Alligator mississippiensis: one gene and its partners. The protein of the gene in region 1 purifies or fractionates together with the protein of each later gene. This does not show direct contact. Links are inferred from orthologs where the notes say so. Each region holds a gene or a part of one and is shown in the gene's direction. Other genes may lie near its edges.

Region 1 (7,573 bases):
CACCGACATTGGCATCTCTATTCAAACAAAGCTGGAGAACAGTGAAGAAGGGGCCTTCATGCTGGATTTGTCAACAAGACAGACATCCTGGCTGCAACCTTAATGGCGAGAGACAAAAAAAAAAAAAAAAAAGGAATAGCGAATATATATTATATATATATATATATATAAATATATATATACACACACACAAGAAACAAAACGCATCCTTGCACTGCTGCTATATGCTGGAGATGAGATGAATTACAAACAGCAACATCAATAACAGCAAAACCAACCGCCTCTTTTAGCCTTTGCGGAGAAAGTGATGAATTTGACTGGACTGATAAGAAAAATCATGATAATAATAATCTTATTAATACAACAAACCGCCATTTTGCATGTTCCATTTAAAGGATACACAGATCATGGGGTCATTTGTTGCACACTGAATGGAAAGGAAAGATGCTTTGCAACAAAGCAAGAAACAAACAAACAAACAAAAGAAACCAAGCGGAAACAAAACTATTCCCCACCTAAGGAAAGAAGAGAGAGAACCATTGAACTGTTTTGATTCTTTCATGATTATTTTTTGCATTTGGGATGTGTGGCAACCACCTCTCTTCCCCATTCCATGCTGGTTCTATTGCATCATTTTTCAGTTGTTATGCTCCTCCCCAACCTCCCTTCCCTTTCCTCTGTCCCTTTATCCGAGCTCTTTTTCCGAAGGTATTTAAGAATGGATCTAATTTGAAACAAAACAAAAACAAATATATGTATATGGTTTTTCATTTATAAAGATGCAGCCTGTAAGGGTTTCATATGGATGTGCTTTTAAGTTATGTATATTATATATAACAAGGGGGGTGGGGAACTGAGGGGTGGGAAACAATATTAAAATAATTAAACAGTGCTGGTAAATATGATGATGACATTTTTAAGTTATAATTATTTGATTGACTGTGGTTGATGTATTACAAGAATCTTAGATCACACTGACATCCCGCAGGAAGAGGATGGGGAACATTTCATTAACCACTGCTCGCTGTGGGGTGGAGAGGAATGTTGCATTTGTCACTGAGTGATCAGCTCTGTGGCAGGAGGAATTGATGTAGTGATACAGTATATGTTTGTAATTGGTTGGTTGGTGACAAAGGAGTTCTTGGTAATGTAAAGAGGCGAGGGCCTGGGAAAGAAGGAATGGACAGTTATAACCACAGCCCAGTTAGCATCACCAAAATGCACCAGTCAGCAATGTCTCACCAGCCCCCCCAACAAAAAGATGCTTCCCACCTTTAGGAGTCCTTGACACCCCCCCCGATCTGGAGTCCCCACAGCAGTAGAGAGATCATGTCATACTCCTCAGCGATGTCTTAAAAACCAGGACCAAAGTCTGAGTTACAGATCCATTCCCACACCCTACACCTACTGAAGCAGGACACTTGCATAGCTGCATTTCTGAACCCTGGTCTTGATCTAGCTCAAGTGAAGTTGAAGTGGTGTGTTTCAGATAAGCAAGAGGGTATTTCTGCTCTGCTTGGCTTTGAAGCAGGCTGCACACCTGGTTTCTGCTAAGGTGACCATAGGCGTTATGACAGCTCTCATGAGGGGAGCTGATACACAGCAATCTCCATCCTTTACCTCTTTGGTACTGTTCTACCACAGCCTTGCCTAGAGTATACTCCTATCTGCTGGCAGTTGAGAAGGTGACTGTGTGTTACAAAGATGTGTGAGTGCAAAGCTTAGTAGATTAGCAAGGCTGAGTAGCCTTGTCCAGTCAGCCAACACTGAGAGGCAGTTGCTGATGATGCACCAGTGTCCAGTGAGGCTGCTTTCCTCTCTATTGGTCAGACTTTTGCACCTAGATGAAGGTTTCCATCACTGGTACACTTGGAATGGGGATTATGGGTGCCAGCTCAAGCCTCATATACTGTCAACCAAGCAGTTAGGGCAAACTCAGAACCAAAAAAAACAACAAAACAAAAAAAAATCAACTGATTTCCAGAGAAATTGTCCCAAGCTCCTCAAGTTACAGAAGGGCCCATAAATATTGCACCATTTTTGCCTTTTTTCACAGACCACAAACATAAAGAGACCTTACACCAGGTAGAAAACTCTTCTAAATGATTCTTGTGATGGGATCAGAGGGTTGTATTGAAAAGGGATCAGTAGAATAATTAGGATTAAGTGGACGTACCCATCTGATCAATCTGCTGCCACAGCAGAGAACTTCGGGCCTCTGGTGGATCTTGGTCCTTCCATTTGCCTTCTACTATGTCCCCACAAAGTCTGTTCTCCTTTTGGCACATCAGTTTCTCCCATAAGCATTAATGGCATGAGCACAGCCTCCCTGATAAAAGAATTGATTCCTTTGCTTCTGCCAACAAAGTTTGTGTCAGATTTCCAATGAATCCAAATGTGTATTTTTTCTCCCAGGATTCTCCACCTTATCACCCGATGCTGCTTTAGGGAACTGTGCCCACCAACATCAAAAAGAGACTGAGCCTTTGCACAGCAACCCACATGTGAACTAGCTACATAAAGCACTTGTGCTTTTGGGAAGAGAAGCCAAACTCCAGGAGATCTGTTCCCACAGCTGTGCAAAATATTAGGCATGTTTCTCCCATTGGCATGCTAGGGTGTGTCCCAGCGCAATAGTTTTTTTCAATACATCCTGCATTTCAAACCAAAGAGCAGCTGGTGCAAACTTGAGACCACTGACTTTTGAATAAGAGGCTACTCAAACTCTTCGTGCCTGATTCTGGTCTCTCATGATGGTTTAAAATTTGGAGCAACTTCATGAGCATCAGTGGAGTTACACTGCTGTAAAACCTAAGTAGGAGAATTGCACTCAGCCCCTACATGTTCAGATTTTTAAAACTGAATCCAGTTCTCTGGATTCTTCAACCCAACGTATCTGATGGGTGACAATGAAAAAAGTGGGGGAAAAAAGTGGAGTCTTTTGCTCACCTGGCAAAGTATGGATTTTATATATACAGAATATTTATTCTTTGTGATCATATTTGAAGCCAGGTGCCCCTTGAAAGTTTTGGCTTTCTTCTGCCTTGTTCATTACTGTTGCTGATATTTAAGGTAGCTGATCACTCTTTTTCTTTCATCTGGGGGCCTTTCCATCGAAGGAGGTGGGAGACGTGAGTGCCTGTTCATACCTAGTCCCACAAGTTCATTCCAGAATTGGCCTGCAATTGCATGAGTACTAATAATAATAATAATATTTATTTTTATTTGAAAAGCACCTTACCAACCAACTGCAATGCTCTGCCATTCCTTCACTAATTCCCCTTTCCTCTTCCCTGGTTCCTCTTCTCTCCTCCACTCCCTTCAATCATATCCCTTTCAGTGCTTGGTGATGTATGCGTGTGTGCTCACTGTTCTTGTATTCAATAAAAGTGAAATAAATGTGTTTGATGCTGAACCAGCTTGTGACCTGAAGCTGACTTTTCTCTGAGCAAAGCAGTGGCAGTTACTACCCTTAGGAGCAGAGACTCCTCAGGGTGACAGTATGCCCAGAGGCAGCTGGGTCTCCCACAGCTGGCTGTGATGAGGACGCCGAGCAAGGACCATACATTGTGGGTTGGGCAGAGCTGCCCAGGTTCTCATCCAGGAGCCTACCTAGTGCAGAGATCCAGTTGAGAAGAGGAAGGATGGGAGGTCATGCTGTCCTGCCAAACTTCACCCACAAAATACGTTTCATAGATTCATAGGCTACGTTCCACCCTTGCAAGCCACCGAAAGGGAACCCTGCTCACAGCAGGCTGTAGATGTTCAGAGCATGAAAGTACGTGCTGTCCTGGTGTCTCTGCATTGCTGGGACCTACTCCTGAATACATGTCGGTCCTGTTAGGTGTTTGGGGGCTTGGTTTCTTTTTGATGGGGAATCTTCAAATGTCTATCATTTGTGGCACTGAAATGACGTGGGGATAAAGGCAGGCTGGGAGGCAGAGCTTGGATGGGAAATACTGGGGGAACTTGGAGAGGAGGAAGAGTCTGCCATGAACTGCCATCCATGTGGGTGTCCCTGAAGGGTTTCTTTGTGGGAGAAGGGCAAGTCTTGTCCCTAATGCTCCCCTGGCTGAGGACAAGGACATGGTGGGAAACCCTAAGAGGATTTATAACCCAGGCAAGGATACATCATCAATTATACACCACAATCACGTTGAAGCATTATTGCGGAGACGGTTGCATGTTCTTGAGGGAAAGCAATGCCCACAAACAGGCATTCAGTGGCCCCATGAAACGAGCGGGGGCTCCCACGCTGCCTCCTCGGGGACGGGCGCACTGAGCCCTTGCAATTCACCCGGGGCTGACAGCTTCGCTAACGGAGCAGCGCGGGGCTGGGGGGCAAAGAGTAACATGGACTCGCCCTTTCAGCCCCATTCCTCCGGGCCGTCGTGGACAACATTGCCAGCGCGCCCGGGGCAGGCTGTGACGCGCCCCCGGTGGCGAGGCCCGGGCCACCGCCGTGTCGCCGGGAGACCGAGCCCGGCCCTTCCCGCGCGGCCGCAGGAGCCGCCCGGTGCTTTCGCGGCCGGACCCGCCGGAAGTCGCCGGCTCAGCGGAAGCCGGGGGCTCGCTTCCGTGCGTGAGTGCGTGCGGAGCCGGGCATGGAGGCGGAGCGGGCGCGGCGGCTGTTCGCGGAGGGCGCGGCAGTGGTGGTGCTGGGGGTGCCGGAGGGGACGCAGCTCGGCGTGGACTACAAGACGTGGAGCGTGGGGCCCCGCTTCCGCGGCATTAAGATGATCCCCCCGGGCGTCCACTTCTTCCACTACAGCTCCGTGGACCGCCGCGACGCCGGCGCCTCGGGGCCGCGCACCGGCTTCTTCCTCAGCCTGCGGCGCCGCGACCTGCGCGTGCTGCGCTGGGACCCGGCCACGGAGCTGGTCGACCTGAGCCCGGCGCCCGCGGAGCAGAGCGAGGCGATCCGGGCCAACCTGCTGGAGATGGACCCGTTCCTGGGCCCCTACCCCTACGACACGCTCAAGAAGTGGGTGTCGCTCAGCAGCTGCATCAGCGAGGCGGTGATGCAGACGCTGCAGCCCGAGAGCGGCCAGGTCTGCGCCTTCTCCGAGGTGCTGCCGGTGCTGGCGGGGACGCACGCCAAGGACCGGGCTGAGCAGAACCGGCCGCCCTACGACACCGAGTGCAAGAGCTATGCCGAGGGCCTGGCCCGGCTGCCCGAGATGAAGCCCAAAGCGGGCACCGAGATTCGGTTCACGGAGGTGCCGACGCAGATGTACCCCGACGGCGCGACCCCTGAGGAAATCACCAGGCACAACATGGATCTCAGCTACGCTCTGGAAACCGTCATAAACAAGCGATACTCCAGCAAACCTGAGGATGTGCTGGGTGAGTGAGAGAGTTTCCCGTAACTAACTCTTTGCCAGCATGAGCAGCGGAGGGGGGGGGGATGTCCCCCTGTACCTGTTGTGCCAGGAACTCAGCCTGTGGCTTTGTCGGGGAATCACTGGGCCCAGGGGCTGGCACTCTTTCAAAGCGGTGGCAGCAGGCTGGGTGCTTGCAAACTGTGCCAGTCCCCTGTCCCTGCTGCTGCAATCCCTCCTTGCTCTGCGCCCCCACACGCTTACTGTCTGCTGCTGAAAGCCATGAAAAATGCCAGTGAGGAGCCGGCAGACAAGGTTCTTTGGGTGAATGTGATATCTTTTATTAGACCAACTTAAATAGTTGGAAAACTTTTTATCAGTGAGCTTTCGGGTTTAAAAACTCTTCTTCAGGCTGAGGAAGCACCTGCAGTTTGTATGCACTCTTCCTGGATGGAAGGAATAGTAAAGAGGCCAGAGGCTGATCTGCAGGCAAGACAGATAGTCAATGAAAATGTAAATTGAGGAGTCAGTGGGGGGGGGAATGAATGAATGTAGCAGGTAAATAGTAGAGAGGCGTTTGGGGAGTCGGAAGTCAAGTAGGTTATAATGTGTCATAAATCCAATGTTTATATTTAGTCTGTGCTTTTTGTAAATAGGAGGTTGATGAAGTAAAGTTCACAGGTTCATCTGTGAAAAGTGTTTTGTAAATTCCCTTTGAGGATTAGAACCGAGGAGCCGCAAATTCAGCAGTGAGGGCACAGAGCAGGAAGCTATAAGCAGCTATCTAAATGTGGTCTCTTTAAATCACCACTTTAATGCAGTCCATTTTCATCTGCATAATAGCTTGAATATGGTAGCTTTTCATCTCTTGTGTTCAAACAGCAGAGGCTGAAAGACTTGGGAATAAGTGATGCTTGTGCACTGCTGGTGACCTCTTCTGGTAGGATTTGGGGGTTGTGCAGAAAGCTTTGAGTAAATACTGTACAGAACAATGTATCATACATTATTTAGCGACACATTAGAAATTGCCAGCTGGTGTCCCTCAGTGGCAGTGCTTTAATTACCTGCTAATTCCAGTGGAAACAATGATAAATCCTTGTTGTATCAGAAGTTGTTTGAATATTCTTTCCTTGGTGGCATTGTATGAGGACTGTGAAACCAAGCAGGGACGGCATTGTTATCCTTTGGATAAATCCCTAAATGATGAAATATCAATTTTCATTTCTACCTAGGAGAACTTTTACTATCTTTGCAATCTCCTATGCCTAGCGAAGGGTGCCTGTGCCCAGAAGCTTGCAAATAAAGAATTTTTTTTGCAAATATCTAGTTGGTCTAATAAAAGATACCACCTCTGCCACAAATTTTGATTCCTTTTGCCTCTAGACCAATATGGCTACAACCTGGATACCTCCCTAGATGGTTGATATTTCATATCAATTTCTTGTTTCTTCTTTTTTCCTGTTAATTTTCTGCCTTTATGAATCATAGTGTGGAATGTTCTAGGACAGGGGCTGCTGATCTGTGGCCTGTGAAGCTGTGGCTGTGGCGGAGGAACAGCTCTGCTCACACAGCACTGCAGTAGGGCACTGAGGACTTTGGTGAGGGGGAGCTTTCCCTGTGCCACAGCAGGATGGCAGGGAAAAGTGGTAGATGCAGCCAGGTCCTAGTGCCAGCCCAGCTTAGCCCTGAACTGGGTCACTCTGGCTCTTTGCCAGCAAATGTTGGCAACTCCTATTCTAAAAAAAAGCTAGTTTACTTGCAAGTTAATTGTTTCTCGTAAAGCACTGGATAGTGTTAGATGTTGATAATTCTCACAAACAAGACGAGTCTAAACATTGGGCAATTTTTAATTTTGATCAGGAGTAGTACACAGTATACTGCTCACGTTAGTTATGCTGTACATATTAGTTATCGTTTTCTTGTTTTGATTGTCTGGCTCATCTGGCGGTACCCACACCATATTGTAGTTACAGTAGCAGCCTCGTTTGTCCTGTTGCCCTCCTTGGAAGCACAGGCTTTGGAAAGCCAAGAGGATAGGGATCACAGGAGGATGTAATGCCTCCATTTTTGTAGTGTGATAATTGTAGGTAACAGCGTTTTATAACAATAAAACAGACAATACCATATCCAAGTGTCTGGAAGTCACTTCACAGCAACGTTACTCTCTGATTCTATTTGATGATAAAGTGGCTCTCCACAGTAAACGGCTGTGCTAAACATGTCCTTTTTTGATTGCAGTATGCTTGTTTCCT
Region 2 (7,930 bases), on another chromosome or scaffold:
ACAAACTCTGATACCTGTACTTTGAGGCCAGCGCAGTTCTTTCTTCAACAATTATGCCATAATAATTATCAAAGGACATCACTTAGACACAGGTGCTCATCGTTGCTTAGGAGAGGATGCAAGTTCCTGGATTTCTGCTAAATAAGACAGAGAAGGAGTTCATCAGCATGTAAGGACCACCAAGCACCGAAATACCAGCGGTAGCAAACCCCAGGCAGCGTGGTTCCAGCCAAGCAATCGGTTGCCTTTCCTGGTGGAAGCAGCAAGCATTACTCATCATTTTCCCAACAGCTGGTGCTGCATCATCCCCCCACCCCCTGCTTCACAGGCTGAGCTTTCAAGCTGGCTGCTTCTGTGTTCTTGTTTCCCACTTACTGATCAGCAATATTTAATGAATGTGGTTCTTAATATACCTTTTAAGATAAAAGCCTATTATCTTGCCAAGGGACTCAGCTCAGAGCAAAGATCACAGTGCTAAGCGCCAAGATTGGAAAGATCAACAACACAATTAACTGCTGGAGGCACCAGGGTTTTGGGGGGGAATCCTACATGTGCTGGAAATGCTCGGGTCCCGGGGCTTTCTTCTGGCAGCTCTGGAATCTCAAGAATTGAGGAAACCGGGGCTGCATCATACCTGTGCCAAGGTAGCGACCGCGCAGGGCTCCCAGGCTGGTTTTCAGAGTGGGGGTAACTGCTTTGTCACCCCAAGACCCTTCGCACCCGATGACACGGACACACCCTTCCCACGGGACAGTGGAGAATGCAAAAGCAACCCCTTGTCATCAAACTCCCCCGATCTGCACCTCCAGCGGAGACGACATCCTGACCCCACCCTTGTGCCTCATCCCCAAGTAGTAGCAAGCCCCCAAACCTCTGCAACCCCGCCGTGATGCCTCTCCTGCCTCCCCCCTTCAGGGAACGCGGCGCCGTCACACAGGGGGCCCCGTGGGCTGCACACCCTGGAGACCCTACCCCCTGCAGCATGCGGACCCCCCCCAAACAACCAGAGCAAGCCTCTGGGCCCCCTACCCCAGCGAGGTCAGTCCTGTCTGGAGTCACGCAGCCGCTCCAGAGACCCCGGCCTCCCCATCCCAGGCAGGGGGCGTCTCCCCACCGCCTCTCCCCCTGCGCCAGGCAGGGACGTGGCTTTGACAAGTCACCGACACCCTGTGCTTAATTGCGGGGTGCCTGGAGGAGCACGGCGGGCACCGAGAGCAGCTCCCTCCCCAGCCCCTCTGAAGCCGACCCCCAGGCTTGGCTGCCTGGCTGCTCCCTGGAGCCACAGGGCGGCTGGCCCTGGAAGGAGGGATGCCCCCCACCAGCTCCCTGGGTGGCCGGCTACGAAAGGCCGGGGCTTCGGTCCCTTGGCTAGGCCCCAGCGTGCCTGCTCCGCCTGGGGAAGGGGATGGGGAGGCCAGCACCGCGGCCAGGGAAGGGGCTCAGCCCCAGAAGCAGCATGGAGGGGCAGGGAGGGAGGCCAGTTACCTGCTGCCGGAGGGAGGAGGGAAGCCAGCGCCTAGGAGCTGCAGCTTGGCGGCATGGGAGGAGCCAGGGGCTGGGCCAGGGAGGGGAGAGAAGGACGAGCCAGGCCTGGAGGGGGAAGGAGGCAGTGGGCATGCAGAGGCAAAGGATGGGGGCCCTCCACGCCCCTGGCAGCGAGCTGCACAGGCGGTCCCCTGGGGCAGCTCCCATGGTGCATGCTGGGCTGAAGGGAGCTGGCCAGCTCCCTGGCCACGAGGTTTCCATACCCCTGCGTGGACTGCCAGGAGACACGGAAAGGCGCAGCAGAGCGGCCCAGGCTGGGTGGGGCGGTCCAGACAGGAGCCCCAGACCAGCGCTGGCTGCAGAGAGGATGGTCACCGCACGCATCGGAGCTGGACCCCACATGGGGCATTCACACCTTGGTCCCCACCGCTCAGATGTCCCCCCCAAATGGAGCCCAGGAGCAGGCTGGGTAGGACAGGGCATGGCTACGCGCAGGGCAGCACTGCACGCAGCGAGGAGCTGGGCGCAGAGCGCCGCAGAGCCTGCTGGCATCGACCCGACAGCGGAGAGCGTTGGCAAGGCAAGCACCTGACATACTGGCTCTGGGCTGATTAAGAAAGGATGGGGACGGACCGTGAAGGGAGGTTAACACGGCTGTAGTAAGTCACGGGGAACACTACAGATGGAGTTGACAGCATATTGTTTTACCAGAAGAAACGATCCTCAAACTAGCGAACTCCAGTCTAGGGGATGAGGCGCAGACCACGCAGGAACCAAGGGCACGTTCAGCACCCACGTGACAGCTCAGTCTAGTTACTCCTTTACTGCAAAGCAAAGATGCTCAGGCCATCCTGTACGCCTGTGGTCTAGAGCTAGCACAGCGCATCCCAACTTCCTGACTGGTGCCTCCAGCTACCACTGTAATGCAAATAATAACAGGAGGAGAAATATAGCTCCTTGCTTCTTCCAAAGGCTGGAGAATATATGCCGCATACTAGTGCCCGGGTACAGAATGCAAGTGCAGCAGTTTTGCAGCCTGGCTCCAGCCTTTGACAGGGCTGCAGAGATTTCCACGGCTTGGCAGCCCTTTTAGCAACTATTCTTTGTCCTTACACAGACCTCAGCTTTACTCTTCCTCCCTCTGGGCTGTTGTCGCTGTTCTGTGCTAAAAGCTATGCTCTCTCCAAGGTGTAAAAGGGCAGGCACAGGGGGAAGGCTATTGATCTTTGTTATGCACTAGACCATCCCAAAAAACCCCAACCCAAATCTGTTTCCCAAGCTCTTGGTTGATAGTTGCTTAAAATGTTGATAACATAATAATTAATCATACCTAGTATTTCTCATCCGCAGAGCGAACCATAAAGGCCCGTGGGCACCCATCTGGAGACATCTCATGTTGCAATGTCATTGCACAGGCCCGGATCCTTCACGTGTTTTCAAGAATCTACTTACACGAACCAGGGCATAACGGCACCCATGCACCAAAGCTGTACTGGGGGAGTTTCTATACATCTATATTGGGATCTCAGCCAATTGGTAGCCAAGATGACTAATTAGCAAAGTCCCCCATCCAGTGGCTAAATCTGCATCCTGCAACATTTACTGGCCCTGCAAAATCACATCTGATGCCAGGAGGTTGTTATACAAGCCGGAAGGGAAAAGAATCTGTCCAGCAATGCAAGCCACTCGTCCTTTGCAGATTATACAGGAAGTTCTCAGTGAGGAATATTTGTAAACACCTGCTCCTTGCTTCTTGTTGAAGTGCTCATAAGAAGCCAGCAGCATAATGCACACTTTTCCCCCCATTAGCTGTAATGCAAGATTGCCGACACAAATAACTTGTGATGTACAAATAAACACCACCAACTTCACAGCCTCAGAGCACTTGGGGACAAATGCAGGTTCCATCAGAGTCAATAGCAGAGCTCTTTTTGGCCTCAGTCAAGTCAGAAGTTGCTCCTTATTGAATATAGGACATTTGGGCTGAGAAAATAAAATCTTGAAAATGGGGTGATTTGGTAACAACCTAATGCTCTGTGCTGCTACTGCATCCTTCCCATAAGGCTCACAATTTTTTTTTTACTGACAGTAACTCCTGCGTGCGATAGGAATTATCCCTGATCTACAGATGCCGAAACCGAGTCAGAGAGAGGCTAACAGACGCGGCATAATTGCTACACCGCATCCCTTGGAAAATATTCTTCCACCCGGCAAACAACCCAGGGTGTTGCACACAAACACACCAAACACGGCAGCAGCTTCTCTGCAGGGCATCCACGGTGGGTTTGAAGTCACGTGATAAATGGGGGTGCAGAATTTGGTTTGTCGGCATTAACAAAATGTGATTTGGAAACGCTTATTCATTTAAGAGATGAATTTGGTTTGTCGGCATTAAAATGCAATTTGGAAACGCTTATTAAGAGAATCCGCGAGTAATTTTAAAAGAAAAGCCGACTCGCAGAATCACGCGAGCAAACAAAAGATCTGTGCTCGCGGGTGCTGGATTGCTCCCTGCAGCATGTTTGCTATTGGGTCCAATCCAGTTTAAACGCCTGGAGCAACGGGGCTCCTAGGGCAAGGCAGCAGGTCCCCGAGCCTCTGCTTCAACTCTTCTAAATCCTTTCACTTTTTCGGACAATTGTATTGTTATGGTTTTTTTATTACGTTTCGTAAAGGGTAACTGATGTAGCGTTTCATTGCAGGCCGTCCTCGACTTAAGACGTGTCGAGCTCCAACGACCCGGCGGCATTTACAAGGTTTATAAATTGACGCCCGTTTCGACTTCCTGACCTGTTTCGACTCGATCCGACGCCACGCCACGAACACAGTGGCTGCGTCGCCCGTCTCCCTGCACAACGCCTGCCCCAACCGCCTCGGACACTTTCTTTAAGAAAGCGGCCGAGACTCCAGCCAACAACAAGCCCAACCCAGAGCCCTTCCAAACGTCCAAAGTCACCCCAAAGAAGTGCTTCCCAATCAATATGATTGCTATTTACAATATAAATGCACAAATGCCGCGTGCGCCGGAGGCTGGGGGACACGACGGGCACGTGCAAGGGTGCACTGCCACGCTCGGGGGGGCACGTGCCCCCCCGCCACGTCACCAATGAATGCAGCTGCATTACTCATCTAGCACCAATGCGGGGTGACTTGTGGCTACCTTTGGGAGCCACCCCCCGTGGACAGCATCTTTTCCTAGGGGACAATCGGTTGCGAGGGACCACACGTGGACCCCCAGCAAGGGGCAGCGTCCACACGGACTCGGCCCGGGCCAGGGGAGACGCTGCCGGAGCAGACTGCGCAGCCCTTGCAGACGCGCCGGACAGGAGCCGAGAAACAGCGAGTCAGACCTGGGCGGAGTGGCGCAGCGCGCCACGAAGGGCACGCCCGCGGCTTCGGCACGCACCGCGTAGTCATCGCGCCCACTGCGTCATCGCAGCGCGCCGGAAGCGCAGGGCACCCGGGGAGCCGAGCCGCAGGCCCGGGCCGCGATGCCGGCGGGGCGGGTGTTCCGGCGGCGCGCGGACTCCGAGGAGGACGAGGAGGACCAGCATGTCACCGAGGAGGTCCGGTGGGTGCGGGGCGAGAGGAGGAGGGGCCGTGTGAGCGGACTGTGGCACTGTCCTTGCGGGGGTGCGGGCGCCAGACCCGCGTTCAGCCGAGCTGGGGGTTTGCCGCCAGCGCCGGCCTAGAGCTGCTTGCCTCCGCGTCGGCCTCGCTCGCTGGGACTCGCAGTGACCCGGATAAGTGAACAGGACGATTGACTCGCGTGCTTTCCCGGCGTGTGCTCCCAATGTGATCGTTTCAGATTTGGCAACGCTGGAGCCGCCTGTGTACGTGCTGGCGCACACGCAGAGCCCCCCTGTGTGTGCGCCACGGCACGGGCGGCTGGTGCCACCGTAGTTGGGGGGGCACGTGCCCCCCCAGCGACTAGTTAGCGACTGGGGTCCCCCCTGCTGCCGATTCCCCGTGTCCGATCTCGCTGACCAAGGGCGGGGGTCCTCCGCAGCCAATCTCGCTGATTGCACCGACCGGGAGGTGGCCGCGGCACTTCATCCAGCGCTCCCGCTGCCCGCCCGGCGCTCGCACCTGCCTCCCCGCCTGTCACCGAAGCGGGGAGCGCGGCCTGTCAGGGGTGCACGTGCACCTCTGTGCACCCACTGTGCCACGGGCTGAGCTGTATCCCAACAGCGTGAGCTATTTTCCATTTTTCCTCTGGAAAAGAGTCAATGGTGCACAGCTGCAATTGTTTTACAGAGAAAAAGCTGAGGGTAGAAGCGATGAGGGGCCGCGCGGGGGTCAGGGAGAGTTCCGTGGAGTTACAGGAAATGATGTTTCTCCAAAAGGAACAAGGACTTTCAGTCTGTCCCTCCCTCCCGTATCCTGTAAAGCCCCCATCACAATCCTAGAAACTTTAGTATCAAAATAAATACAACTTGTAGTATGGCACACGACAGAGGAGTGTGAGGGCTACACAGGGCAATAACCCCCCCTTTTCCAATGCTTGACGTGAGAGTGGTCTGTGCGCTGGGGAGTGGGCGCAGAGGAGCCCCAACCAGCTCACAAAGGTAACGTTTTTCCTTCAGGCTGAAGCTCGAGGAAGCGAAGGAAGTGCAGAGCCTGAGGAGGCGGCCCAATGGGGTGAGGTGAGTGTCTCAGCAAACACACGCCAGCTCATGTTGGGTCAGAGACTTCCTTGTGGCTGTGAGTTGGCCTCCCTGTCGTCCGTACTCCCCGGCGCTGAAGGACGTCGCTGTGGCCCCAAGAACTGGGCCTGGGAGAGGAGAAGGCCTCTTGACGGTCCAAAGACCTGTAAAAGTTGGTACTGGGCACAGCTGCAGTCGTATGTAAACCATGTTCATGAATACTGGTTCCCTGTAGAGCTGCAGCCCAAAACCATGAAGAGTTTGGGCCTACTTTAAAACTGAAAGACCTTAAAGTTAGTTAACGATGGGTGCATCTACTTGAGATGCTTAATGCGCATTGGACTAATTCTACTGCGCATTATCGCATCATGGAAAAAGTGTGCTAATGCAGAGTAGATTTAGTTTAATGCACATTAACATCACAAAAAATGTTCATCTGGGCTAATGCACAGTAGAGCTGAAAATGGTGCATTAAGTTAGTACCTGTCATTAGAGGTACTAAACTTAATGCACCGTAATTATGGTGTGTTAATGAATGTGTGGATTTGCCCTCCCCCATGATTCTTCTGGTCAGATTTCTCTCTCAGAGTTGTGTCATATCACCATATGTTATGATGTGTGGATCAGTTTCTCATGTCTTAAACATCACTTTGTAACACGTGTAATAGATTATAAACAGGGAATTGGAAAACTAGTCTTTAAAATGAGTCTCACTTGCTATCATCCATGTGATCTAAGGAAGGAGGCTTGTTAGGTTATGCCAGGGTACTGAGAATCAAGGTTTGCTCTGTGTTGAATTCTGTTCCTCACGCTGACTCGCTTTGTGACCTTTTATGTCAGTTAATCATGCTTTGCCTCAGTTTTTCTGTGTGGAAAATGGGGCTCAGAGCTCCCTAAATTGGATGGATGATATATGTTTTAAATATTGAATATCAGCAAAACAGTTTGAGACCTTCAAGTAGATGTTGGAAAATACTAAAAAAAATTAATGTGGTATTTATAATGAATGATAATGCAAGAGCAGGGTTTTTTCACTCAGTGAATCTTAGTTTTCTTTTTTGTGTGCTTTGCTAGTGCTGTGGCCTTGCTTGTAGGGGAGAAAATGCAAGAAGAGACAACATTGGTGGTAAGTTGTGAATATTTCTGTTACCTTACTGCTGATAAATACCTGTGGGAAAGCATCTACTTTGTACAATAGATCGTTTGGAAAACTTAGTTTTGGGTAGCAACTGGCCATCATAAAAGGCTAGTAGGATATAGCAGCCTAATGGAGGGAATTTTAGGCATTTTTACCAGATGCTCAGAGAAGAGGGTTTTCCAGAAAGTAACTTTGGGGCTGGTATAGATTAAGGGACATATTTCATGCCTTTGAATTGTTTCTGCTTTTTGTAGGATGACCCTTTTAAGATAAAGACAGGTGGGATGGTGGACATGAAAAAGCTGAAAGAACGAGGGAAAGACAGGTGAGTGTCTGAGAAGTCTGAAATGACTCTTCCTTTAATGCTAGAGAGTTGGCAGCACGCAGGACTCTTTCAGTATTGAAGAAGGAAGGTGAAGTGCTTCAAGCATTGTGCTTTGAAGAATTTAAATGAAGTCGTTTGTCGGGTTGCTTATAGTCAGTGAATTATTTAGTAACGTAATATTCTTGTTAATATTTAGGATTAATGAAGAGGAAGATCTCAACCTGGGAACCTCTTTCTCAGCAGAAACCAACAGGAGGGACGAAGATGCTGACATGTAGGCATTTGCTGTGTTTATATGTAGTGATTCACCATGAGGAATGAAGTGCCTTAAGGCTA
Region 3 (7,272 bases), on another chromosome or scaffold:
AGACTTGGGGCCGTGGTGTGCTCTGGGGTACGTGGAGGGGTCTCTGCTAATGTCCCAATGCCCCCAGAGGGTGAGCCCCCCTGGGTCAGGTCAAAGTCTGGTGTGACCCTGCAGATGGCCGGGGGGGGGGGGGGGGGGGAGGGGGCAGATCTGCCCAGCCAGACCCCCTGTAGGGCAGGTGGGGGCAAGCCTGGGGGCTGAGGGAGGCAATTAGAGCCTGTCCTGACCCCTCCAACCAGCCCTGGCATCCGCCCCACCTTCAACCGCAGCCCACCCAAGACCCCCCCACCCCTAGCACAGGAGGCACCAGCCCCACTCAACAGACCCCCCACCAGCGGCCCACAAGACACTTACCACCCCACATCCACCCAGCCTTAGCACCCAACCACGCGAAACCCCACCCGTCTCACACCCACCCAAGACCCCTCCCCACCCTAGCTCTCGCCTACCCCCTCCCATCCTCCCACCCACGAGAGACCCCCCCATCCCAGCACCCACCAGAGACCCCCCACCCCTAACCACCATCCACCTGAAACCTCTCCCCACCCCAGCACTCACCCGGGACCCCACCCCACCCCTAGCCCCCACCCATCTTAGACCCCTTCTCACTCCAGCATCCACCCAAGACCCTCCCCACCCCAGCACCCACCCGAGACCCCTCCCCAACTCCCAGCCCTCCCCTCCACACCCACCTGAGACCCTACCTACCCCCGTCACCCACCCGAGACCCCCCCCCTCCCCGGGGGGCAGCGACCCCAGCCCGGGCCGCTGTGACTCAGCCCCGCCGCCATTGGCCGGCCGGTGCGCTGCCCGCTGTTCCGATTGGGCGGTGGGAACCCCGCCCCGGGCCACCATTGGCCGGCGCGGCGCTATAAGAGCGCGGCCGCCCCGTCGGGGCTCCGGGGCGCTGCGCCGCGCGGGGGGAGGTCGCGCGTGGGAGCTGCTCGCCATGCGGGAGCGGAGGGCGGCGGCGGCCGCCGTGGCGCGCTGTAAGCTGGTGCTGGTGGGCGACGTGCAGTGCGGCAAGACGGCCATGCTGCAGGTGCTGGCCAAGGACTGCTACCCCGAGGTGAGCCGGGTCGCGCGTGGGCGGCCCATGGGGGGACGGCGCCCGCCTCCGTGGCCTCGGCCGGCCGGGGCTGACCCCTCTTTCCCCCTCCCCTGCCTGCAGACATACGTGCCCACGGTCTTTGAGAACTACACGGCCTGCCTGGAGGGCGACGAGACACGCGTGGAGCTCAGCCTGTGGGACACCTCCGGTACGGGGGGGGGGGATACGCGGGGGGGGTTGACATGCGTGTCTGGGGGGGGGCGCGTCTCTGTTCTGTCTGCTCCTCCTCCCCCCGTGTGGCTCTGCCACTGCAGAGCTGCGGGCATGTCCCGGGGGCAATTGGAGGCTCTGGGGGGTTGGTAGGGGGTGCAGGGCAGCCCTGCCACCCCTGTAGCCCCCCAATCCGGAGCACCCCTGCAGCCCCCCCATCCCGGTTGCTATGGTGATGTGCTGGGCTGGCGCAGGAGCCGGCGCTGTTTGCTATTCTGAGCACGGAGCGTCTGGGCTGCAAAGCCTTGGATGCGCTGGGGGGGCGGGGGGCTGGGGAGGGGCCCCGGGCAGCCCCCACCCCCGCATCCCAGCCCGGGGGCTGTGCTGGGGCCCCCCTCTGCTTGGGGGTGCAACATCCTTTCCTTTGTTCCCTTTATCTGTAACTGTACCCCCCCCCCCCACTCTGCAGCTGCCACCCTGCTGCCCCCCGGGTGGGCACCCACTGCCCCCCTCCCTGGGCCGTGTCAAGCTTGGTGCTGCAAGGGGAGGGAGCAGGGGGTGGTGGTTATATAAATGGCACAGGAGCCATTTCCCAAAAATCTGCAGGGAGGCAGGAGGGAACTTGGCTGCTGGGCACGAGCTGGCCCTGGGGCCTGGCGGGGGCAACAGGCCAGCCCACAGCACCCCCCGGTGACCCCTGCCTTCTCCCACAGGGTCCCCCTACTACGACAACGTGCGCCCCCTCTGCTACAGCGACTCGGACGCTGTCCTGCTCTGCTTTGACATCAGCCGCCCCGAGACCCTGGACAGCGCCCTCAAGAAGGTGATACTCGCCCCCCCCTCCCACCCTGGGGCAGGGGGGTCTTGGGGCTGACCCCCAAGAGGGGCAGAAGTGCCCTCTGGCCAGGCTCTGTGTCCAGCTGATTACCCTGTGGGTTTGGCCTGATTTTAAAGGGATGCTTAGTGTCCCCCTACCCTGGGCTGTTTGGTGCCATGGGACTGGGCTGGAATGGGGCTGAAGGACTACCTTGCCCCCGCTCCCCCCCCCCCCCCCCATTTTGGCGCTGCCTGGGGCGGGGGGCATAGGGCAGGGTGCCTCTGCATTAGCCACTTGCTGTTCCCTTCTAGCATGGGGGGCTGGTCCTGCTGCTAGCTGGATGTGACACCTACCCCCTCCATGGTCTCATCTGCAGAGGTGGAGGGGTCTGTTCTGAAACCCCCTCCCCAGGGCTCCAGTGGGACCAGGCTCAGCACCCAGGAATGCCCCTACACCCCTGGAGCTGGGTGCAGCCCCCTCCCCAGCCAGGGCAGCACTGGGGTGGTACCAGGGAGAGCTTGGGGCTGTTGGCCTAGGGCCCCCTGACCCTCCTCTCCCCTCCATGGTCCCTGCAGTGGAAGACAGAAATCCTGGACTACTGCCCCAGCACCCGGGTGCTGCTGATCGGCTGTAAGACAGATCTGCGAACCGATCTGAGCACTCTCTTGGAGCTGTCCCACCAGAAGCAGGCTCCTGTCTCCTACGAGCAGGTGAGTACCAGCGTCCTGCTTTCTTATCCCAGCTCCAGCCGTAGCCTAGAAGGACCTGGCTCTGGCTTGAGCAGTCTGGGGCGTAGCATTTGGGACCTTCCCCTCCTGGTGCCTGCCAGGCTCCCAGGCCTCCAGCTGCCCCCTCATCTCTCTCTTTGCTCGGGTTGCAGGGCTGTGCCGTGGCCAAGCAATTGGGAGCTGAGAGCTACCTGGAGTGCTCTGCCTTCACCTCGGAGAAAAGCGTCCATAGCATCTTCCGCACAGCCTCTGGCGTCTGCCTGAGCAAGGGCAGCCCCCCGCCCCCCAAGAGCCCTGCACGCAGCCTCTCCAAACGCTTGCTGCACCTGCCCAGCCGCTCCGAACTCATCTCCTCCACCTTCAAGAAGGAAAAGGCGAAAAGCTGCTCTGTCATGTGAAAGGGGGGCCTGCTTCCAGCCCCTGGACACTCTCCAGCCCCCACGATGGGGAGGGGGGGAGGGCTGCTCCAGCAGGGGGGAGCTGGGAGCTGGGTTATATCCCGCCAGAGGAGCGGGCCCCATGGTGAGGCCTTCCCCTGCAGAGGGGATTTGGGGCCTGGAGGCTTCCCCGGCTGTAGCAACCCCAGAATCGGCCCAGCTCATCGCAATGCTTCCCACACAGGCTCCGCGCACGTTCTCCGGGGGACGGGGAGAGGGGCTGCCGGGGCCCTGGGGTGACCCTGGGGCTGCTCCAGGCTGCTTGGCACAGACGGGGCTTGGTTGATGGCGGCTCCTGCACCCCCGGAGCCAGGACAACTTGCCACAGACTCATTGTTTCCCCTCTAACGCCCAGTCGCTGTCCAGCCGTGCCCTGTCGTCTCCATCCGCTGCTGTCCCTGGCCCCCGCGCTGCCTGGCACCGGCCGTTCGCCTTGATGTTACCTGGCCCCGGGGCAGGGGCAGCTCCGCCTTTGCCTGCGGGGGGGGGGGGGGGGGGGATGGGACTGTGGGGTGGGGGTGGTTTTTGTTTTATAGACCTTTTGTCTGGGGGGGTGACTCTGTTCCATGTTCAGTGTTATTAAAAAGCTTATTTATTATGGAAAATACAGTGGATAGCAGCAGCCTGTGTCTAGTGCCTCTTGTCTGTGGAGGGCGAGCAGCCTTTGGAGCAGGGGTGGGTTGTGGAGGTGCAGGGAGGTGACCTGGGCGGGGAGGAGCGTCGGTGGCAGAGCCGGGAGCAAGACTCCCGGGTGCGGTGCAGGGGTACCCCGCGCGGCCCGCTCCAGCCTGCAAAGGGTTAACCCCAGCGCGGAGCCCGGCCCGCGACTACATTTCCCGGCGAGCCTCGCGGCCGCTCTCGCCTTCCCAGCGGGCCGCGCGGCGCTGGCTGGGCCAATGGGGCCGCCTTCTGGTCTGTTGCCGCGGCGCCTGCTGGGAGCTGTAGGCGCCGAGCCAATGGAGTCGGTTCCGGCCAGGCCACGCAGCGCCTCCTGGGAGCTGTCGGCGCCGGGGCAATGGACTCGCCTTCCCGGCATGCCGCGCGGCGGGGCCCGGTTCCGGAGTGAGCCCGCTAAGATGGCGGCGGCGGCGCAGGGGCCCGAGGCCTGGTGACGCCGGCGGCGGTGAGTGCGGTGGGACGCCCGGGCCCCCTCCCCGCCTCCCCCAGCTCGCTTCTCGGTTCCCCGGGGGGCCGCCCGCCTGCTGGGGCCCCGCGCCCTGCTCCCCCACGATGCCCGCGGGGGCCGGGCGGGAGCCTCCCCCTGGCGCCGGGGACAGCGGGGTCTCGCCTCCGGCCCTGACAGCGTCTCGGCCCCGGCAGATGGCGGGGGAGCTGGTGGAGAAGAAGGAGCGGGACCCGTCCCCGGCCAAGGAGGATCGCAAGCGCTCGCGCTCCCCGGACCGAGACCGGGAGCGCGACAGGAAGAGCCCCCCGGGCAAGGACAGGAAGCGGCACCGGTCCCGGGAGCGGCGGCGGGGCAGCCGATCGCGGTCCCGCTCCAGGTCCAAGTCGGCTGACAGGTGCGGGGCAGGGGCAGGGGCAGCCCTGTGCCCCGGGGAGGGGTGGGGGTGCAGCCAGCTCTGGGGCGCGGGGGGACGCGGGCGGGCGGGCGGGCCCCGGTGTTTGCGGCCGCTGCCACGGGGCTTTGCGCTCGCAGGGAGCGGCGACACAAAGACCGGGAGCGCGACAGGAACAAGAAGGACCGCGACCGGGAGAAGGATGGGCACCGGCGGGACAAGGACCGCAAGCGCTCCAGGTCGGTCGTGATGGGGCGGGAGCGCGGGACGAGTGGCTGGAGGCTCCCTCCCTCCCTGCCTGGCCGTGTGGGCGGGCGGGCGGGGAAGGCGAGGGGCCTTGGAGCGGGTGGTTGGGATCCCGCCAGCGAGGAGCTGGAGGGGGCTGAGCTGGGGCCCGTGCCTGGTGTCCCCCGCGCAGGAGCTTGTCCCCGAGCCGAGGCAAAGACTCCAAGTTTCGGAAGGACAGAGACTCCCGCAGGGCGGCGGAGGAGGAGGAGGATGCGGCGCTGAGGAAGGAGAAGGTGGGGTGTCAGGAAGGGGCAGGCACAGCCTGGCACTGGGTCCGCCTGGCGCGGTGCGGGGCTGGCGCGCCTCTCGGGCTCTGACGGCCCCGTCCTGTGTTTGCAGGCCCAGCCTCTGTCGCTGGAGGAGCTGCTGGCCAAGAAGAAGGCTGAAGAGGAGGCAGAGGCCAAGGTGAGGATGAGCAATGCCGTATGCTGTTGAGGGGTTGCCTCCTTTCCTCCCTGTTGCTGGGCCTGGTCTGCACTATTGCCAAGACAGAAAGCTGCTACCCTCTGGGTCCCTGGCTCTGCGCTGGGCAGTGCGGTACGGCAGGCAGCCCATCGTGCCTGGGGTTGTGCGAGAGGATGGGAGCATGGAGGGCTGCTGCGCTGCTGGGCCGTGCTCACTGCCTCCTCTGTCCTCCAGCCCAAGTTTCTCTCCAAAGCCGAGCGGGAGGCTGAGGCACTGAAGCGGCGCCAGCAAGAAGTGGAGGAGCGGCAGCGGCTGATCGAGGAGGAGAGGAAGAAGAGGAAGCAGTTCCAGGATATGGGGAGGAAGATGCTGGGTGAGTGCCTGTCGGGGGTTGTGTGGCTCCTACCCAGTCCTAGGAGGGCCCTCGGTGCTGCCCTCGAGTACGGGGTACGCTGAGTCCCCGTTTGCCTGCCCCACAGAGGACCCGCAGGAGCGGGAGCGCCGAGAGCGGCGGGAGCGCATGGAGCGCGAGACCAATGGCAATGAGGACGAAGAGGGGCGGCAGAAGATCCGCGAGGAAAAGGACAAGAGCAAGGAGCTGCACGCCATCAAGGTACTCGGCTCCCCCGGTCATGCTGCTACCCCTGGGCAGGGAGTCTATATCTCCTGTGGATTGGGAGCCAGGATGCCTCAGTTCCCTTGCAGCTCTGGGGCCGGGTGGGGGCTGAAGGAATGGAGCTGGGGGCTGGCAGTCCCTTTCTCTTAGGTTCCCGGGGCTGGTTGCATCTGCCGGGTGGGGGCTGATGGCTATGCTGCCCGCAGGAGCGGTACCTGGGTGGTGTGAAGAAGCGGAGACGCACTCGGCACCTGAACGACCGCAAGTTTGTCTTCGAGTGGGACGCATCTGAGGATACGTCCATCGACTACAACCCACTGTGAGTGTGGCCCAGAGCCGTGGCTGACTGGTGCCGTGGGGTCACCTGCTCAGGGCAGAGGAGGTCTTCCCGTGTTGTCCCCCCCTCCCCTCCCTACCTGGCTGTGGAGCACCAGAGCAGCCTGAGGTGCCGCCCTAGCTGCCCTGACCCCATCGCCTCCTGTTGTGCAGGTACAAGGAGCGGCACCAGGTGCAGCTGTTGGGCCGCGGCTTCATTGCCGGCATCGACCTGAAGCAGCAGAAGCGAGAGCAGTCGCGCTTCTACGGGGACTTGATGGAGAAGCGGCGGACACTGGAGGAGAAGGAGCAGGAGGAGTGAGTGGCTGCTATGGTGAAGGGGGTGGGCGTTCTCGAGCCTGGCTCCAGGGTTGGGAGGTTCTGACACCAGACGTGTTTTGGGGGCGCTGGTTACGGTGTGGAGCCTTGGGTCTGGTCCACGGCTGCAGGGTTCCCAGGGCCGGTCACAGGCACTAGCTGCACTACAAGGGCGCAGGGATGGGGCACGAGGTCAAGTGGTTTGGGTGCAGGTGTGAGGCCTCCATGGGGCTAGAGCTGAGGTGCTTCTGGGATGTCTGAGGTGAGGCTGGCTACATTCTTCCCCACGTTTGCCCAGCAAGGGTGGCAGGTGGCTTCTGCCCAGCAGAGCACACGGGAGACCTGATTACCGGTATTCCCTCCCCGCAGGGCCCGGTTGCGCAAGCTGCGGAAGAAGGAAGCCAAGCAGCGCTGGGATGACCGGCACTGGTCGCAGAAGAAGCTGGATGAAATGACGGACAGAGATTGGCGCATCTTCCGCGAGGACTACAGCATCACCACCAAGGGCGGCAAGATCCCCAACCCCATCCGCTCCTGGAAGGACTCCTCCTTGCCTCCCCACATCTTAGA
Region 4 (6,845 bases), on another chromosome or scaffold:
TAAAGCTGTGTGGAGGGAAAGGCTGAATGACTGGTTGCTCTGCACTGTGCTGATGTATTTGAGGGTGGGAGCACCCAGTATGCAGGGGTTTGCGTGAGCTTGTCCGCTTATTCTGGGCTACAGCCCTCACACCACAGGGCTGAGGACCAGCAGGCATATGCATACGCCTCTAGGGGATATGATCACTTCCTCTGCAGCTGTGCAGGGCTACTTCTCCTGAGATCCCCTGGGCTGTGATAAAACAACCCCTGAAGAAGTACTCAGAAAACACGGCTTTTTCGTTTTGACAGTTTCCTGCGCTGTTGCCTAGAATTGTGTTTCCATCCTACCAAGCTGCCTCCGCTCACACGAGCTAGAAGAAATTGCTTTACCATCTGTTCATCTCTGAGCCCTGACTCACTATTTTTATTTTGGTGTCGCCAAGCAATTGCAAGAGCCCCAACACGCCGCCAGCACAAACTGCTCTGCCACCAGCCTCTAGGAAAAACAAATCTAGCCTTAATGCCTCGCAGCACATGGGCCTTGGTAGCAACTTGCAAGGGCGGGGAGGGCGACATAGACTTCACAGTGATCTCAGCCCTCAGGCAGGCAGGAAACACAAGCCATTAAAAAGGGAACTAAAGTGGAGCACAAAAGAAGTAAAATATCTCCTGATGGTGCATGGCCCACAAGGCACCTGGGTGCTGAAGGTGGCAGTGATGGAGAAAGGTCTCTTCACGCCTCTGGCCACTTTGGCACCTGAACGAGGACTGGAAAACGGTCTCTCTCTGATTCCAGTGAAACTCCAAATCCACCTCGCCATGTGATAGACGGCTTGTGCCTGATCTTACAAAATGGGACCGGCTGCTGCTTTCTCCCCTGCTCTCTTCCTGCCCTTTCCCATCCACACTTTAGAGTGCATCACCTGCCATGCTCCCAATACTACCCTCTACTCTGCAAATAGATTTTTTTTACCCTATTCCCTTAGACCGCACCCACTGTTTATTCTTTTCTTTCCAATGATGCTCTTTCTCTACCCACCCAACCCACCCATACACTGCTCCCTGTTGAGCTCCTAGGTGGTACCCCACAACCCTCTGCAGCCCCTGGGAAAGGCCGATCCCATGAATTTCCATGCTGCACAGATCTTTGAATGGGGAAAAGCCTGTATTAGTGTTGTTTTAAAACTCCAGCACAACTCTGGCCAGATGAAAGACATTTTGTTCTAACCTTGCCTGTCATTGCTGCCAAATATATTCCAAACACAGCTCTCTGGTCATAAATTACTGTAGTTAGCAACACTCCAGAAGGCTGTGATATATATTTAAAACCGACAATGCAAATGAAATGGCTGCAGTTTATATTATGGATGACTCATAATGAGGCCCCATTTTTAAAGGGATTCAGCCAGATCTTTTAGGCCACAAACATAACCTGCCTTTAACATCACACATTTTTCACCAACGCTAGAGGTGAAGCAGTGTTTGGAAGCCATGAGGAAAGGTATCTCAGCAATCCCTGAGGCAGGTAAGCTTGGAATACAATACAGCTCCTGTCCCAATATGATATGCTGGCACATGGCACAAACATACAGCTTTTGTTTATATGTAGGCCCCTAAGTAAAGGCCACATTGTTTCTGAGTTATCTATCCAGTGCTGAGAAAACTAATTAAATAAAAGCTTTTATTCCCTACATCTTGTTTCAGAGCCCACTGACCTCTTCTGAAGGACTCACTCTCACTTTCACTGGCTTAAATCAGGCCTATACAGTGATGTGTAACTGGGACTAAAGGGACCTTAAAGCAAATCCCTAGGGACATGGTCTAATGTCATCGCTGGCTTTGCTCCAGACTGGTCTTGTGTTAAAGACTTTGGGCCAGACTGTTTATGGGCTGGCTGGAAGCTAAGGGCCTTCATATGAGGGTGTCTCCCAAATACTGTCAGACTTACTGCCTTTCTGACCCTGCCTAGAAAAATCACCTGAGGCAGCTTTCCTTCATCCAGATTTTAGCTATTCAATGCCACATCTCTACTAGCAGGCAAGGTTATTTGGGTAGATGTGATATCTTCTTTTGCAAAAAATGGTCTTTGCAAGCAAGCTTTCAGGAACAAACACCTTTCTTCAGGCATCGGGAGACTCTACTGGTGTCATATGTTCCCCAAGGTAGAAAAGTGCTTGTGCCTGAAAGCTTGCAAAGAACATTTTTTCCAACTATTTAGTTGATCTAATAAAAGATATCCCACCTACCCAAAGAACCTTGCCTGCCTATGTCCTTAGACCAACGTGGCTACAACCAACAACCCTGAAATAGCTCTACTGGGGCCCCTGCTGCCAGTCATGCTAATATAGCTGTTGTGGCAGCAGCGCCATACTGTAGCCCAGTCTAGGCTGGACCAGCTAACTGTGTTCATCTAAACAGCACGCTACAGCAATAGTGTTAACTAGGATGAGGTGAGCAGGGCACCACCCCCAGGCGCCAACTATGAGAGGCTGCCAAAATCCATCCACCTCCCCTTCTGGGAGTCCTTGCCTTGACAGGGGAAGCCCCTAGGCGGCCCCTGCTGGGCCATGGGAGCTGGGCAGGGCAGCACTTCACCCATCAACATATCTAGGGGGTGGGGGGCGAATGGGACAGGTGGAATGGTTCTCCCCTGACCCTGGGGAGCCTTTGGCAAAGCAGCCCCAGCCCTACTCCCAACATGTATCAGGGTTGGGGTGGGTGGGGGGAAGCAAATAGGACACCCGGATCTGCTGGAGGAAGCCTGGCCACAGCAGAGCTCGCACTGCTGACACTGAGAATCTGCAGCGCTAGCCCAGGCAGGTGTGACCTCCCTTCCCCTTGCCCGTGCCATAGGCACCCCACCCCCCACCTGCCGCCATCTGTGTGGCCAGCATACCCTCACCCTCCACCCCGCACCGCCCGCCCCAGGCGTTCAGCGAGCTTGCTATGCCACTGCACTACATCCCTGATGGTCAGAGCTGGCCATGTTGTGCAGCCCCACGGTGGCCAAACTATCCTCCTTCATTTTGATGGTAGAGGTTTATTTCTTCCCCCCTGGCTCTCCCTCCCTGCATGCCTATAGCAAAGCCATGATGGGTGTGAGTGATCTCAGATGAGCCACGCTTGGCTTTGTATCCCACTCCCCTCCCACCTCTAAAAGCAAGAGGCATGTTGACATCTCCTTCATCTAGCAGAGAAAGCAGGTTGGGAGATCAAGTGTGGCTTGCCACAGAAAGCTCTTGCCCTGCTCCCAAGAGGGGGCCTGGATGACTACATGATCTCTGGGCAGCCCTCCATCCCTGCTTCTCTACGACTCTACACCCAGAGACGGCTCGTGCTAACCTCCCCTGCGGTTGCTAGTGCCTCACTTTCCTTCTCCCTCCGTAAGGGGCTGCTCTGATGCTCCTACCCCACACCCCTCACGAGGAACTAGGGAACGCTTGCACCGGGGACCACAAGGCTGCGGATTAGAATGCTACCCGCATCCCGACCTATCCCGCGGCGGTTTACAAAATACAAGCACCTAATTGGCTGCAGTCTACCTTCCACCGCCCCGCCCCACCCCACCCCATTGGTGTAACAGGGCGCGGCGACGAGAGCGGCTAACACCGCGGTGCATTATGGGGGCCGCAGTCCCTTCCGTGCGGGGTGGGGCGGGGGCAGGCTCGCCAAATGTCCCCCGAGAGTCCGTGGACTACAACTCCCAGCAGGCCAAGCGGAGGGACGAGCTGCCCTTGCCCTTTCCCCCCTGCCCTGCCCATCCTGCCGCTTGTCCCCATGGGAGCTGTGGTTCGGGGCGCCTGCCACTTCCCGCGCCTTGCTAGAGCTTCCGCGGGCGGAGCGGACTCGCTTTCCCAGCTTGCCCCGCGCGGACGGTGGCCGCCAAGGGCGCTGAGGGGCAGGGGCCGCCCCGGAAGGAACGCGACCGTGGCGCGGAGTGGTTGGGCTCGAGCTCCGCGGAGGTACGCGGGGCTGCCGTTGGGCTCGCGCGGGCGGGGGGCAGGCACCAGGGCACGGCCGTTGTCCACCCCCCGTTGTGCAAGGGGGCGGGGCGGGGCGATGCGGCGCGGAGCGGCCCGCGGAAGGGCAGATGCGGGGGCAGGGCAGCCCTGTGCGCGCGTGCGCAGTGTTGCGAGGTGCGCGATCATTAGCCTCTGCGTAGGATCATTGGAGCTCTCGTATGTTCAGTGGTAGTAAAAGTGCGCGAAATGTAGGGTAATTGTTGAGGCAGCAAATGCAAATCCGAAGTCGCTCTCAGGGAGTCTTAGATGACACCTGGGTTTGCTGTCAGCCCTAGCCTCCAAATAAAGAAATGCTTCGACTTGAAGTCCTTGCTGACTCACCGGCGACTTGCCGTGAGCAATAGGAAGTCGAGAAGAAGGCTTATTTGCATAGTTATTTGCATATTTTTGCAGCGGACAATAGTTTTTCAGCAAATACGATCGTTTTGAGCTTCCGATACAACAATTTCATATTTAAGACCTGGCGATGCTGTGTGCACAACAGCATCACCCTCCTTAGCCCACCTCCTCCTTGTGGCAGGGAGGGGTGGGCTGTGGGCCTCTCATGCCCAGGTGTGTGCACGTGTGTGCCTGGGTGCACAGGCAAGGGTGTGCATGGGCGTGTGGTTGTGAGAGACCCTGCGTGTCCGCCCAGCCCCTCCCCTCATTGCAGATGGGTCTCATTGCTGAGGGGGTCTGGGCACTTAGCTTCTTTGCACTTAGCCCAGTGGTTCCCAAACTGTGGGTCATTATGCCAGATGGGGTTGCGAAATCAGGGTTACGGGGGTGGGCGGCTCTGGGTTGGGAGTGAGGGGTCATGCTGAGCAAATGGGGCCATAAATGGGTTCATGCTGAGGAAAAGTTTGGGAAGTATCTCCAGAAAGCTTTACGTATCTCTGTTTCCCCTGGCATAATGAGGGCCAGGCAAGCACAGCAGCCGCCCCTAGCACTCGCTTTGTGGGGGTGGGGGGTTCCTCCTCCCTTCTTCCCAGCAAGGCAGAGCTGGGGAGCACTGTGCCCAGCAGTGTTTCAAGAGGGGGAGAAGGGTGGAGTGACGCCCCCTTCCCCTGGGAGGCTTCACCAAAGGGGGTTCAGCCCTGCCCGTGGGGCTAGGGGGTGAATGGGGCCCTGGGAGCTCATGCCCCTGCCCACAAATCGGTGGCAGCAGCGCAAGCTCCTGTTCCTAGGGGATGGGTAGCTGCCTCAAGTGAGGAGAGCCCCAGCACGTCATACTGCCCCCCATCTGCCCAGCAGTCAGCATCATTCTTCCCCCCCCCCCCCCCCCCCCCCCCCCTTAGGCCAAATGAGCGGCCTGTGGTCCATCCATGGGCTGGGTATCAGACCCAGCACGTGCAGTGCCTGCTTCGGCCAGTCTCGGACCTGCATTGCACACACTGCATGTGGTGTGGTCCTAGGACCAGCCATGCAACATAAGGTCCAAACCAGCCAGAGTGGGCATCAAATGTGGCATCAGATGTGGCACTCATCCCAGGCCCTGTGTTTGTGGCTGGTTCAGTGCTTGGTGTGTGTGGGTCAACTGCAAGTCCCAGGGGCAGCATGGGGGGTGGAAGGGGCAGCTGATGATACTTCACAGTCCATCTATGGCTCCCAGGCCATATCTTTGACACCCCATAATTAGTCCATAACAGTGATTCTCAAGCAGGGTGCTGCAGCATCCTGAGATGTTTTGAGAGTCCTTTGAGGGTGCCATGGGGTGCCACGCAATGGTAGCACTGTTAGGTGTGCAAACACAGTTCACAAGATAAACTTGAGGATTCCAATTTGAAACCTCCAACATTAAAAATGTTCTGACCTGTTGTGAAATTATTCTTTGCAGCTGAATAATTGCTCTTTGATCTTTCCTGTAGTCAAAACACAAGTGAAAGCTAAGAGCCAGAGTTTTCCAAGGGGAGAGGGGGGCGGGCCTTGGGCCTAACGAGGGATGCCTTGTGTCTAAGAAGGCGGAGAACTACTGGTCTCTAAGCTGCAACGCTACCCTGTGTTCTGGCTGCCAGTGTGGGAGAGCAGATTGTGTGTCCATCCCTGGCTGCAGGGTGGTACCTCTGCCAGGATCCTCCTCTCTATTATGCTGATAGTACCCATCTGATGTCCATGACTTCCTTCTAGGGTAGTCCTTTGCTCAGTGGACTATAGGCTTCCTATCTGCTGACTGGCAAGGGCTTACAGTAGTGTGTATTGCAAATGCCAGCGTGTGGTGAATTGGTCATTGTGTGTTCATTCTGGACACCAGAGTGGTTTTATTGTGGTGTGAATGCCAAGGTAAATTATTTCAGAATAAACCATGACTTGTGTTTGCATAGTTATATGGCCACCTTCACTAAGCTTTACAGTGTTAGCGTAGCTGTTGTCCAGTCTCTGCTCTTTCCCCTTCTGTACTCAGTATGGTGATAAAAGGCTCATTGCCCAAGTGTGGAGTGACTAACTCTTGGACCCCTGTGCAGGTCACAAGTGATCCAGCAGAACCCTGTTAGCTGAGACCAGGATGGAAGAGTCTGACGGGGACCTATCCATTCAGAGAGGTGCCGTCCTAGCTGAGTTGTACCATATTCGGATCACCACAACGAATTTGTGAGTCTGTCTGGGGAGTAGGGGTCACTGCTCGAGCACGATGTTCTCCAGAATTGAAAAGGTTCCCAGGGTCCCAACACAGGGTCCCAAAACAGGGACTGTTTTGTTACCAGTCCTGGAGTGTTAGGCAATTTAATTCACCAAAATGTAGTCAACTATCACCCTGGCATCAGTATGAAAGCAGGCTATATACAGGTAGACTTACTGCCACCCAGTCGGCCACCTGGTTCTGAGGGATTGTTGTTATTTTTACAAAAGCCGTTGATCCATATGC

What was found.
Region 2: the proteins of AAR2 (region 1) and C12H9orf78 purify together in Homo sapiens (affinity purification with mass spectrometry; 3 studies listed by BioGRID and IntAct, with this or other methods). This does not show direct contact. The link is inferred for Alligator mississippiensis from reciprocal best matches to the Homo sapiens genes AAR2 and C9orf78.
Region 3: the proteins of AAR2 (region 1) and DDX23 purify together in Homo sapiens (affinity purification with mass spectrometry; 3 studies listed by BioGRID and IntAct, counting the BioPlex papers as one, with this or other methods). This does not show direct contact. The link is inferred for Alligator mississippiensis from reciprocal best matches to the Homo sapiens genes AAR2 and DDX23.
Region 4: the proteins of AAR2 (region 1) and TSSC4 purify together in Homo sapiens (affinity purification with mass spectrometry; 3 studies listed by BioGRID and IntAct, counting the BioPlex papers as one, with this or other methods). This does not show direct contact. The link is inferred for Alligator mississippiensis from reciprocal best matches to the Homo sapiens genes AAR2 and TSSC4.

The regions. Positions count from the first base shown.
Region 1 is NC_081832.1:22,956,641-22,964,213, forward strand, and holds the start of AAR2 (protein AAR2 homolog), read left to right. Parts: upstream 1-4,573; 5' UTR 4,574-4,604; coding exon 4,605-5,346; intron 5,347-7,573. UniProt on the Homo sapiens protein: Component of the U5 snRNP complex that is required for spliceosome assembly and for pre-mRNA splicing.
Region 2 is NC_081835.1:58,725,848-58,733,777, reverse strand, and holds the start of C12H9orf78 (splicing factor C9orf78 homolog), read left to right. Parts: upstream 1-4,915; 5' UTR 4,916-4,976; coding exon 4,977-5,056; intron 5,057-6,071; coding exon 6,072-6,131; intron 6,132-7,205; coding exon 7,206-7,257; intron 7,258-7,523; coding exon 7,524-7,594; intron 7,595-7,790; coding exon 7,791-7,868; intron 7,869-7,930. UniProt on the Homo sapiens protein: Plays a role in pre-mRNA splicing by promoting usage of the upstream 3'-splice site at alternative NAGNAG splice sites; these are sites featuring alternative acceptor motifs separated by only a few nucleotides. May also modulate exon inclusion events.
Region 3 is NC_081838.1:6,588,235-6,595,506, reverse strand, and holds the start of DDX23 (probable ATP-dependent RNA helicase DDX23), read left to right. Parts: upstream 1-4,268; 5' UTR 4,269-4,366; intron 4,367-4,563; coding exon 4,564-4,763; intron 4,764-4,900; coding exon 4,901-4,999; intron 5,000-5,178; coding exon 5,179-5,281; intron 5,282-5,387; coding exon 5,388-5,453; intron 5,454-5,687; coding exon 5,688-5,826; intron 5,827-5,932; coding exon 5,933-6,066; intron 6,067-6,275; coding exon 6,276-6,388; intron 6,389-6,558; coding exon 6,559-6,702; intron 6,703-7,071; coding exon 7,072-7,272. Other genes in the region: RND1 (rho-related GTP-binding protein Rho6), read left to right, coding at 950-1,069, 1,172-1,259, 1,975-2,084, 2,654-2,788, 2,959-3,204. UniProt on the Homo sapiens protein: Involved in pre-mRNA splicing and its phosphorylated form (by SRPK2) is required for spliceosomal B complex formation.
Region 4 is NC_081825.1:188,812,356-188,819,200, forward strand, and holds the start of TSSC4 (U5 small nuclear ribonucleoprotein TSSC4), read left to right. Parts: upstream 1-3,838; 5' UTR 3,839-3,943; intron 3,944-6,444; 5' UTR 6,445-6,571; intron 6,572-6,845. UniProt on the Homo sapiens protein: Protein associated with the U5 snRNP, during its maturation and its post-splicing recycling and which is required for spliceosomal tri-snRNP complex assembly in the nucleus.